Linked DNA regions of Danio rerio. The protein of the gene in region 1 interacts with the protein of each later gene in a pairwise test. Links are inferred from orthologs where the notes say so. Each region holds a gene or a part of one and is shown on either strand. Other genes may lie near its edges.

Evidence for each region.
Region 2: the proteins of nudt21 (region 1) and rplp1 interact in a two-hybrid assay, tested with the Homo sapiens proteins (2 studies listed by BioGRID and IntAct). The link is inferred for Danio rerio from reciprocal best matches to the Homo sapiens genes NUDT21 and RPLP1.

Annotation. Positions count from the first base shown.
Region 1 is NC_133193.1:24,124,060-24,128,178, forward strand, and holds the start of nudt21 (cleavage and polyadenylation specificity factor subunit 5), read right to left. Parts: upstream 2,896-4,119; 5' UTR 2,770-2,895; coding exon 2,651-2,769; intron 333-2,650; coding exon 132-332; intron 1-131. UniProt on the Homo sapiens protein: Component of the cleavage factor Im (CFIm) complex that functions as an activator of the pre-mRNA 3'-end cleavage and polyadenylation processing required for the maturation of pre-mRNA into functional mRNAs.
Region 2 is NC_133194.1:2,213,928-2,218,180, reverse strand, and holds the start of rplp1 (large ribosomal subunit protein P1), read left to right. Parts: upstream 1-1,381; 5' UTR 1,382-1,499; coding exon 1,500-1,571; intron 1,572-2,859; coding exon 2,860-2,934; intron 2,935-3,452; coding exon 3,453-3,564; intron 3,565-4,253. Other genes in the region: lipid scramblase CLPTM1L, read left to right, coding at 1-77. UniProt on the Homo sapiens protein: Plays an important role in the elongation step of protein synthesis.

The DNA.
Region 1 (4,119 bases):
AAGCCATTGAAAAATAGTGAACAACAAGTAGGAATATTTAAAGATAGGTTTCTTTATATAACAGCTTAACCACTTAAACAGCAGCACTCTATTGAATTCATCACATCCACAACACACAATCTATAGCTTACAGTTTGAAGAAGGTTGTCCCCAGCTGAAGTAGCAGAACATGAGGGAGTCTGTGCTCGTGCACGATCAGAACACCCTCCACAGTCCGCCGCATCCCGATTTTCTCAAATTCTTCCCGCATCCGCTGAAAGCGTGCGGCTACCGAGCTGTCCTTCTCATAGAGCGGCTCCTTGGTGCCGAATGTGTAATTTGTAAGAGGGTATCTTTGGAAAAACAAACATGTTATTTCATTTAAATTGAGGTGTGATAAAGCTTTAATAATCCACACACTGCAAAACAAAACATAGCATCATAACAAAATAATGAGGGAAAAAAGATGGCAAGCACTGTATGTGGCCGCTAGTAGTAGGGCTGCACAATATATCGTTTCAGCATTGATATCGCAATGTGAACATTCGCAATAGTCAAATCACGAGTATATGCAATGTTGAGTCTGGGTTATAATTTACAATATTTCAAGTGTTTTTGAGGCCTGTGATTGTGTGAGGGTTTTAACAGCATGTGTACAGCTTTTAACTAAAAAATAATAATGATGAATTTGCTTGTTTTATTTTACAATTAATCATTTACTGTACACCTAAATGCAGTTTGACTCCTCAAAAACAATAAAACACTGTTTATGTAATTTGTATTTTTCTTTATTGAATTTTTCTATGCTTGTTTCTTATTTTTTTATGCATGCACTCTTCTACAAAATCATCCCAATCAATCTAAAATTTCTAATTCTTTCCAAATAGGCTTGTAAAATTGTATTTATATTGCAATTTATGTCACAGAACAAAAACATATCCCAATGTTAGATTTTTCAAATACAGTGCAGCCCTAGCCGCTAGTCATGTAAATTTCCATAAAGCTTCAAAACCTTTAAGAATCTTGTTTTCAAATAAGTGGTTGCATATCAAGGGGTCACAAAAAGTCACAATTTATGTAATGGAGGATGCATTTCATCATAATTATTTCAAAAAGTTATTAAAATCCAATGGTTCATGTATCTGTGCGTCTGAATTATGCCAGATTCCCAACTGTATTTATCAAAGCTTGTGATTGGTTTGTTACTGTATATTATTGCAAAATCACTCCCTTAATAAATCACCTAAATTATGAATTCTTTTTGAATAGACCTACTCATTTCATCTAGTAAAATTATCGCAATGTACATCGCAGAGGATTAAAATATCACTTGGTAATTTCTCCCTAATATTGTGCTGCTCTAATTTTGACCAGAAGGCATTACCAATCTGTGGTATTTTGAATGTTTAAAGGTTTTGTGAAGTGCTTTGAAATGGGCATTTATATTCCATGTTTGAGGTAATCTCAACTGAAACATAATGAAATGGTGGCAGTTCCTCCCCTTTAGAAAATAAAAACAGAGAATAGCGTTTTGTTTTTATCACAAACAATCTCTGCCAATGAGAGTGTTTGAGCTTAAGGCATCAAATGAATAGCAAATGAGAACCATCTTGGCAGGGGGTGGGGTTTATGCTCACATACTAGAGAGCATTTGATTGGTCAAGATTTGGTGAGTAAGTAAAACATGAAGTGACCTATGAATAATCATAGATTAGGCGGAAGTGACAAACTGCGGGCTTTAGATGTGTATATATCTTATAACGCAAATTGAGTCACTGTTTGAGCACACTAGCTTATAGATATCCTCAAAACTAACATCTAAAAAGCTTTATTTTTACTTTTTATTTTATTTCACAGGTCCTACCTTTAAAAGAGCAATCATTTATTAATTTTATACAAAGTGTAATTTGGATCTTGTGCTCGCCTATTATGGGCGTTTCATTCCATTGTGTTTTCATACAGCTTTTTGTACAAATTAAAAATAATACTCCCAAATAAGGGTTTCAATATCAAATTTGAATTTACATTAAAGATCATTCATATTAATATTTGATTAACATTGGCATAAGGTTAGCGTTATTAACAAAATCAACAATTATAATAACAATTCTACCGTCACTCAATATAATCAATGATTGGGATTTGTTTACGTAACTTGCTCAAGAATTCGACTGTTTGATTTCTAAGTCATACTTAACGTTACACCAAAATAATAACAAATAACACCATAAACCACAAATAATCAAATAACATTTCAATAACATTGCGCCTGTCGACTAATGTTAGTGATATTTTCGAATAAATGTGCAAAGAGCCCTAGGATAAATCACCGAGAACAATGCTAACTGCAACATATGGAATACAAAACTAATAAGAACTATATCGAACTCTTATATTTCAATATCCCTGCATATGTACACACTGCCATAAATGTGCATGCATTTTGCCACATAAAAAACAAAACTCTGAATATTTCACTGTATTGTTACGCATGCAAACAAGAGCTGGCAGCAAGAAGCTACGGTAGTCTGCCATGGTCAAACGCTAACAATGCTAACGTACTGACATGAAAGGCACAATGCAGCAGCACTAGGATTTACAACCATTAAAGCTTGTTTAAGTAATCGCATATATCGTTTGTAGTGTTGAATTTTAAGTTCAAGTTACTCACAGGTTGATTGTTCTCTCCAGGGTGAGGGGTTTAGTCGCCTGGGTAATGTATTTATTGCCGAACTGATTTACTCCTCGAGGCCAACCGGTAGATGATCGATTAGGAGGTACAACTGACATCGTATGACGGATTATTAAATCACTTCCTAATATTTGCACTAATCGCGTTTTTTTCCACGTTGATTACTTTATTACTGTGATTGAATTGCACAGCCTTGGCGCTCGATGAAAACTGGAATACGGCGCTCTGCTGTGAAAGCACATCCGGGACATTGGGTTACTTCCTGTGTTACGACCGTGTGTTTCGGCTCTTCAGATTTTTCTCATCTGATCTATGAGCAAGAGTTGTTTTCCACATTATAAGTAGTGGGTTTGAACAGTCCAGACACGATTCAAACCCTTACCCTTCAAACAGAGGGTTTGTGGTTGTTTATTACACTTTTCTGCCTGCTACAAGGCGTGTTTTGGTGTCTGTTAACCTGACATCACAAACACAAGAATACCACAGAAATGTCCAAACTAGATTATTAAACCATGTATTAATCAGAAAAAGACAGTAACAATTAAACCACTTATATAGCCTGTAATAGTTATTTAGGGAATTTTACCATTTAATGTTTGCAAGATTGCTTTGTGTATACGTAGCCTAATTTTTGCTTTAATGTAAACAGAACAGTTTTTTTAATACTTTATACGGACCTTTGGTGTTTTTAAAACATCATCAGTCGGTGCTATTCCCACATATCAAAAAATATCTGGCCCACATAATCAGCTTTTGCTTGGCCCACTTGCGGCAGTAAATTATGGTATATGAGTGGACCAATTCTGGCTTTTAGACAAGGACCAAACATGGACAATATCTGGGCCAAGTCTCAGACAAGTTAATAACCCATAACTGAGCCTAAACTTCACCAGATATGTTTTTGTATCCCGTCTGCAATGAAATTGATATACTCAGGGATCATTGCGCTTTAGGCATGCTATGGGCTTGCTTTTTCTCGAAGCGATGATTGGTACTTGGTAGAATTTTTTTCTTTATTTGAAAATAATAAAAATGTATTTTAAATGTGGGTCAAGATAAGCCTAACGTTCATGGCTCATATATCAATTGTTAACATCTGGCCCGAGTAGGCCTATTGTGTGCCGTCTTAAAGACGGTGCCACCTCTGCCAAACCAGGGCCATGTTTGGCCTACATGCTGTATGCCAGTGCCAGACAAATGCCTGCCCTGCCAGATATATGCCATATCTGGGTCAGAATTCTTTTCTACCTGTGTTGGAGGCACAACAAGTTAGCCTACACTGAATCACTTGCATATTTTGCTAAACATGTGATCAATTATTGCCATTCTTTAAGCCAGGAATGTCAAACTCAGTTCCTGGAGGGCCGCAACCTTGCACAGTTTAGCTTCAACCCTGCTTCGATATACTTACCTGAAACCTGAAGGACTCAATTAGTTTAATCAGGTTT
Region 2 (4,253 bases), on another chromosome or scaffold:
CAGTGGACAGAAGCCGTGTGAACGAGTACGGCGTCTCCTACGATGAAAAACCCAAAGGAAAATCACATGAAGATTGACATCATCATCATCTAAAACCGAGGACAGATGCTGCGTTTGTCTATTTAAGCTCAGTTTTGCTCTGCTAACCGGAGAAATGACACTGGTTATTGGACTGAGACACACACACACAGCTCCGGAAGCTGGAGAGATTGGTTTCATTTTTACAGAATGTATTTGGATGGGGCTTTTCCATTCAGTCTCAGATAGTGTTTTGAATTAAGAGCATATCTCAAGGGTGCCAAACGAGCAGAGGTTCGGACTGATTATGGCTTTTTTGTTGGATTAATTTGAGTAACATGACTGTTGTTTGTGTGTTCAGAGAGGATGATGATGATGACGATGATGTGTCTGTTTGTTTGTTTTTGGTTCATTCCATTAAGTGTTTCTGTGATTAAACTGCTCAATTAAAGAGACTTTATTACACAGGCTGTCTAGATTATTATATTTTATATGCTTTATTACAGTTTCTGGTTCATTTTATATGACATTACAATCGCTGATTTAATTCATTTTAAAAGGCTTCATTACAGTTTCTGATATTTTTTACATTTTCTTTTATATTTTTATTACGGTGATTGATATTATTTATTTTATATTTATTATACAGTCGCTGATATTATTTATTTTATATTTATTATACAGTCGCTGATATTATTTATTTTATATTTATTATTACAGTCGTTTTATATATATATATACATATATATATATATATATATGCTTTAATAGTCATTCATTTTTGTTTTATTTATTTATTGGGCATGAAGTGAACTCTTAGTGCATACAAAATCACCAGGCATGTGTCTACACAATTAATTACATTCAGAATTACAAAACTTCTATAAGACAAAAGTACTGTAGCATAATACTAAAGGTTTAAGACAGTTCGGTTCGTTACAGTACCATGTAAATAACTTAAACGAAGTATGGGAATTTTACAGTATCATGGAATTTGATATATAAATAAATAATAAAATAGATAGCTACTTAATATTACTGGTATTCTATACTTCGGTACAAGTACCATAGATTAAAAGGCTCCTCACTAATATTACAAAGTAAAGCAAAAGTCTAATAAAATACCGAGTACAGTCACGTAAACGATTTTAAATATGATTTTAAATTTATATATTTATATACTCATTTATTCATTAATTCATTCACTAGTCAGCGCTGTCGTGAGCACATATACACAGCGAATAACTGACATCACAAACGAACCAATCACAGCTTTTGTTTTCTTCACTTGTCTCGCCCACTGAAGTGACGCACAAGTCTATATAAGTCTTCGCTCCACCCTTTTCCGGCCCTTTCCGTTTACTGAGATCGCAGCATTTGAGGTGCTCGGTTCTTCTCCCGAAGCTAAGGCCTTCAATCCGGCGACTAGCACCGTCAAATTTGCCCATCCGCACCAAAAAACTTAACCTACCGAAAGAACGATGGCATCTGTGTCCGAACTCGCCTGTATTTACTCCGCTCTGATCCTCCACGACGATGAAGTTACCGTCACGGTGAGTGTTGAGCTCCTAACCGGCGAAACGTGAACATCCGGGACTCAACCGCTACGGTTCTCGCATGCTACCCTGATTTTTGTGCTAATTTAGTATTTCTGCGTTTGCTAGTTCAATTACATCACATGTTTGGTGTGTTATTAGATAGTTAAGTCGCTGTGTTTGTGTGAATAGCAGTAAGCACGTTATAGCACATTTTCGCGCGCTTCCTGTCGTTATCCTGTACGGCTTAAATACTTCAGATAAATGTTCACATTGTGGCTGTAAACACGCATAACTGAACGTACTAGCTATCAGCACCTGGTAAGTTAGCATCCCTGTATCATGCTAATGACACATTAGCACTTTAGCTAGTAGGCTAAAGACTAGATAAGTTGGTCAGTTGACATGTGCTGGTATTCATTAATACAGTATTTCCTAAATAAGCATGCATTAGTTATCATGGTCATGTAAAAAAGTGTAAATATTTAAGCTTTAGACTGTCTTTTAAAAGTTTATTCTTTTTACACCTTAAAGCAAGACTCAATTAATGATGTTGTGAAAAGTACGTGTGTAGTTCATTCATCTTAGTTGTGGAGATTGTTTACAGGTTTTTTTTTTATTGACAGTTTTTAGTTGAATAACTGCACCAATGTAGCTTATTCGTTGAGATTTATATCTTGTTATTTGCTGAATAAGACCATAATCAAGTACTTCAATTCTTTACAATGCATAAAAAATAGTTATAGTCCATGTCCAAGTAGTCTATCAAGATAAAACATGTAGACCATTTTGAGGTATGTAAACAAAAAAATAAGGTTCCAACATGTTTTCAGTTTTGCATTTTAAATTTGTATAGCTTTCAAGAACTCAAAATTGATAGTTATGATAGCTGCTTTAACATTAAGTTATGATTGACCTGCCTGTTACAGTTATGAAATGGTTTGATAAGCAGGAAATGTTCACGGGCCAATGACATAACCACATTGAAATGGTCTAATTATACGCTGCATGATTTGCACTTAGCCAATTAATTATTTTTCTGATGTTGTTTTAATAACTCAGTGTATATTCTAATAACAAACATCACAATCAAAACTTTCACCAACAAGTGAATGAGACTATTAGAGGTGAATTTAAAGCATGTTCGGGGGCGTAATGACCTACAAATATTATTGTAGCATCTCAAAAACCATAACCTTACAAATAATTTTGCTGCTTTGATCTGATCGCTGCTATTGTCTTGCACAGTATTTGCATTAAATGAGTTGATGCACTGATATGAACTCTCTCTGAATGTGTTTTTCAGGAGGACAAGCTGAACGCTCTGATCAAGGCTGCCGGTGTGACCATCGAACCCTTCTGGCCTGGTCTCTTCGCTAAGGCAAGTTTATTTCACATCTGACAGGAGGATGATGGAGAGATAAATGTGAATGCCTTCCATCATTAAGTCCTCATGCTGTAGTGCAGGGGTGCTCGAACTCAGTCTTGGATGGCTGGTGTCCTGCACATTTTAGTTCCAACCCCAATTAAACACACCTGAACAAGCTTATCAAGCTCTTTCTAGGTATACTAGAAACATCCAGGCAGGTGTGTTGAAGGAAGTTGGGGCTAAACTCTGCAGGCCCTCCAGCACCGAGTTTGGACACCCCTGCTGTAGAGCATCTTGATGGTATGATTCAAGACTCAGATTTTATGCATGTTTAATGCATGTTAAAATATGAAATTGTTAACCAAATAGGCATGCAAACAAATATAAACTATGAATTGAATCATCCTAAACGTTTCTATATACATGTGACTGTTAAAAACTGCTGTGCAGAGAATTGCTCTTGAATTAAGCCCTCGCGCTGTACAGCAGCTTAATTGTTTCGAGTCTGATGGGATGTGTCTTGTGTTCAGGCTCTGGCCAGCGTGGACATCGGCAGTCTGATCTGTAATGTTGGAGCAGGAGGTGGAGCTGCTCCTGCTGCCGCTGCTGGTGCTGCTGCTCCTGCAGGTGGAGACGCTCCAGGTAAACATCACCCATCATCTGTTACTATACATTTAATGATGTGCAAGCTGACATTGAGTAGCACCTTCTTCTAAACAACCCTAAAACAGATTCTGAAAGTGAAGAGTGCTCTCTCTGGGAAAGCCTAAAATACAAATTATTAAAAGAAATAGCCTGAAGGGGTTGTCTTCATCTCTTCATATTTTTTATAATATGATGCGAGTAATCATGCAGCTAAGACTGATGTTTTTCAGGCATGTTGTCATATATGCTACTGATTTTACTACAGCTTAAGCAAGTTCATATTGAATTAGCTGCATTAAACTATCTGACTGGGTTTTCCAATGAAAGCAGTACATCTGTGCATCTCAGCAACACTTTTCACAACAATTTTCGCTTCAGATTTTAAATCTTGTTAAACAGCCCAACCCATTACTCAGCAGTTGATTTCTGAATTATTCAATTGGGATGCTTGATGGTCAGTACTGTAAATGTCAAATACTTCAGAACCCCATTTAAAAACCATTAGCAATGTTTTATTAAGTACATACTCTATCGATTGCAGTGAGTTTTAATACTATTACATTTGTAATGCATGATTTACTCATTGCCTACAGCTTTCCCCACACCAAATATCCATAAACTTGTTTTTGTTGTAACCATCCAGAAACTTGGGTTTGATCTGAGATGAATGCAAGATTTTGAAAGCG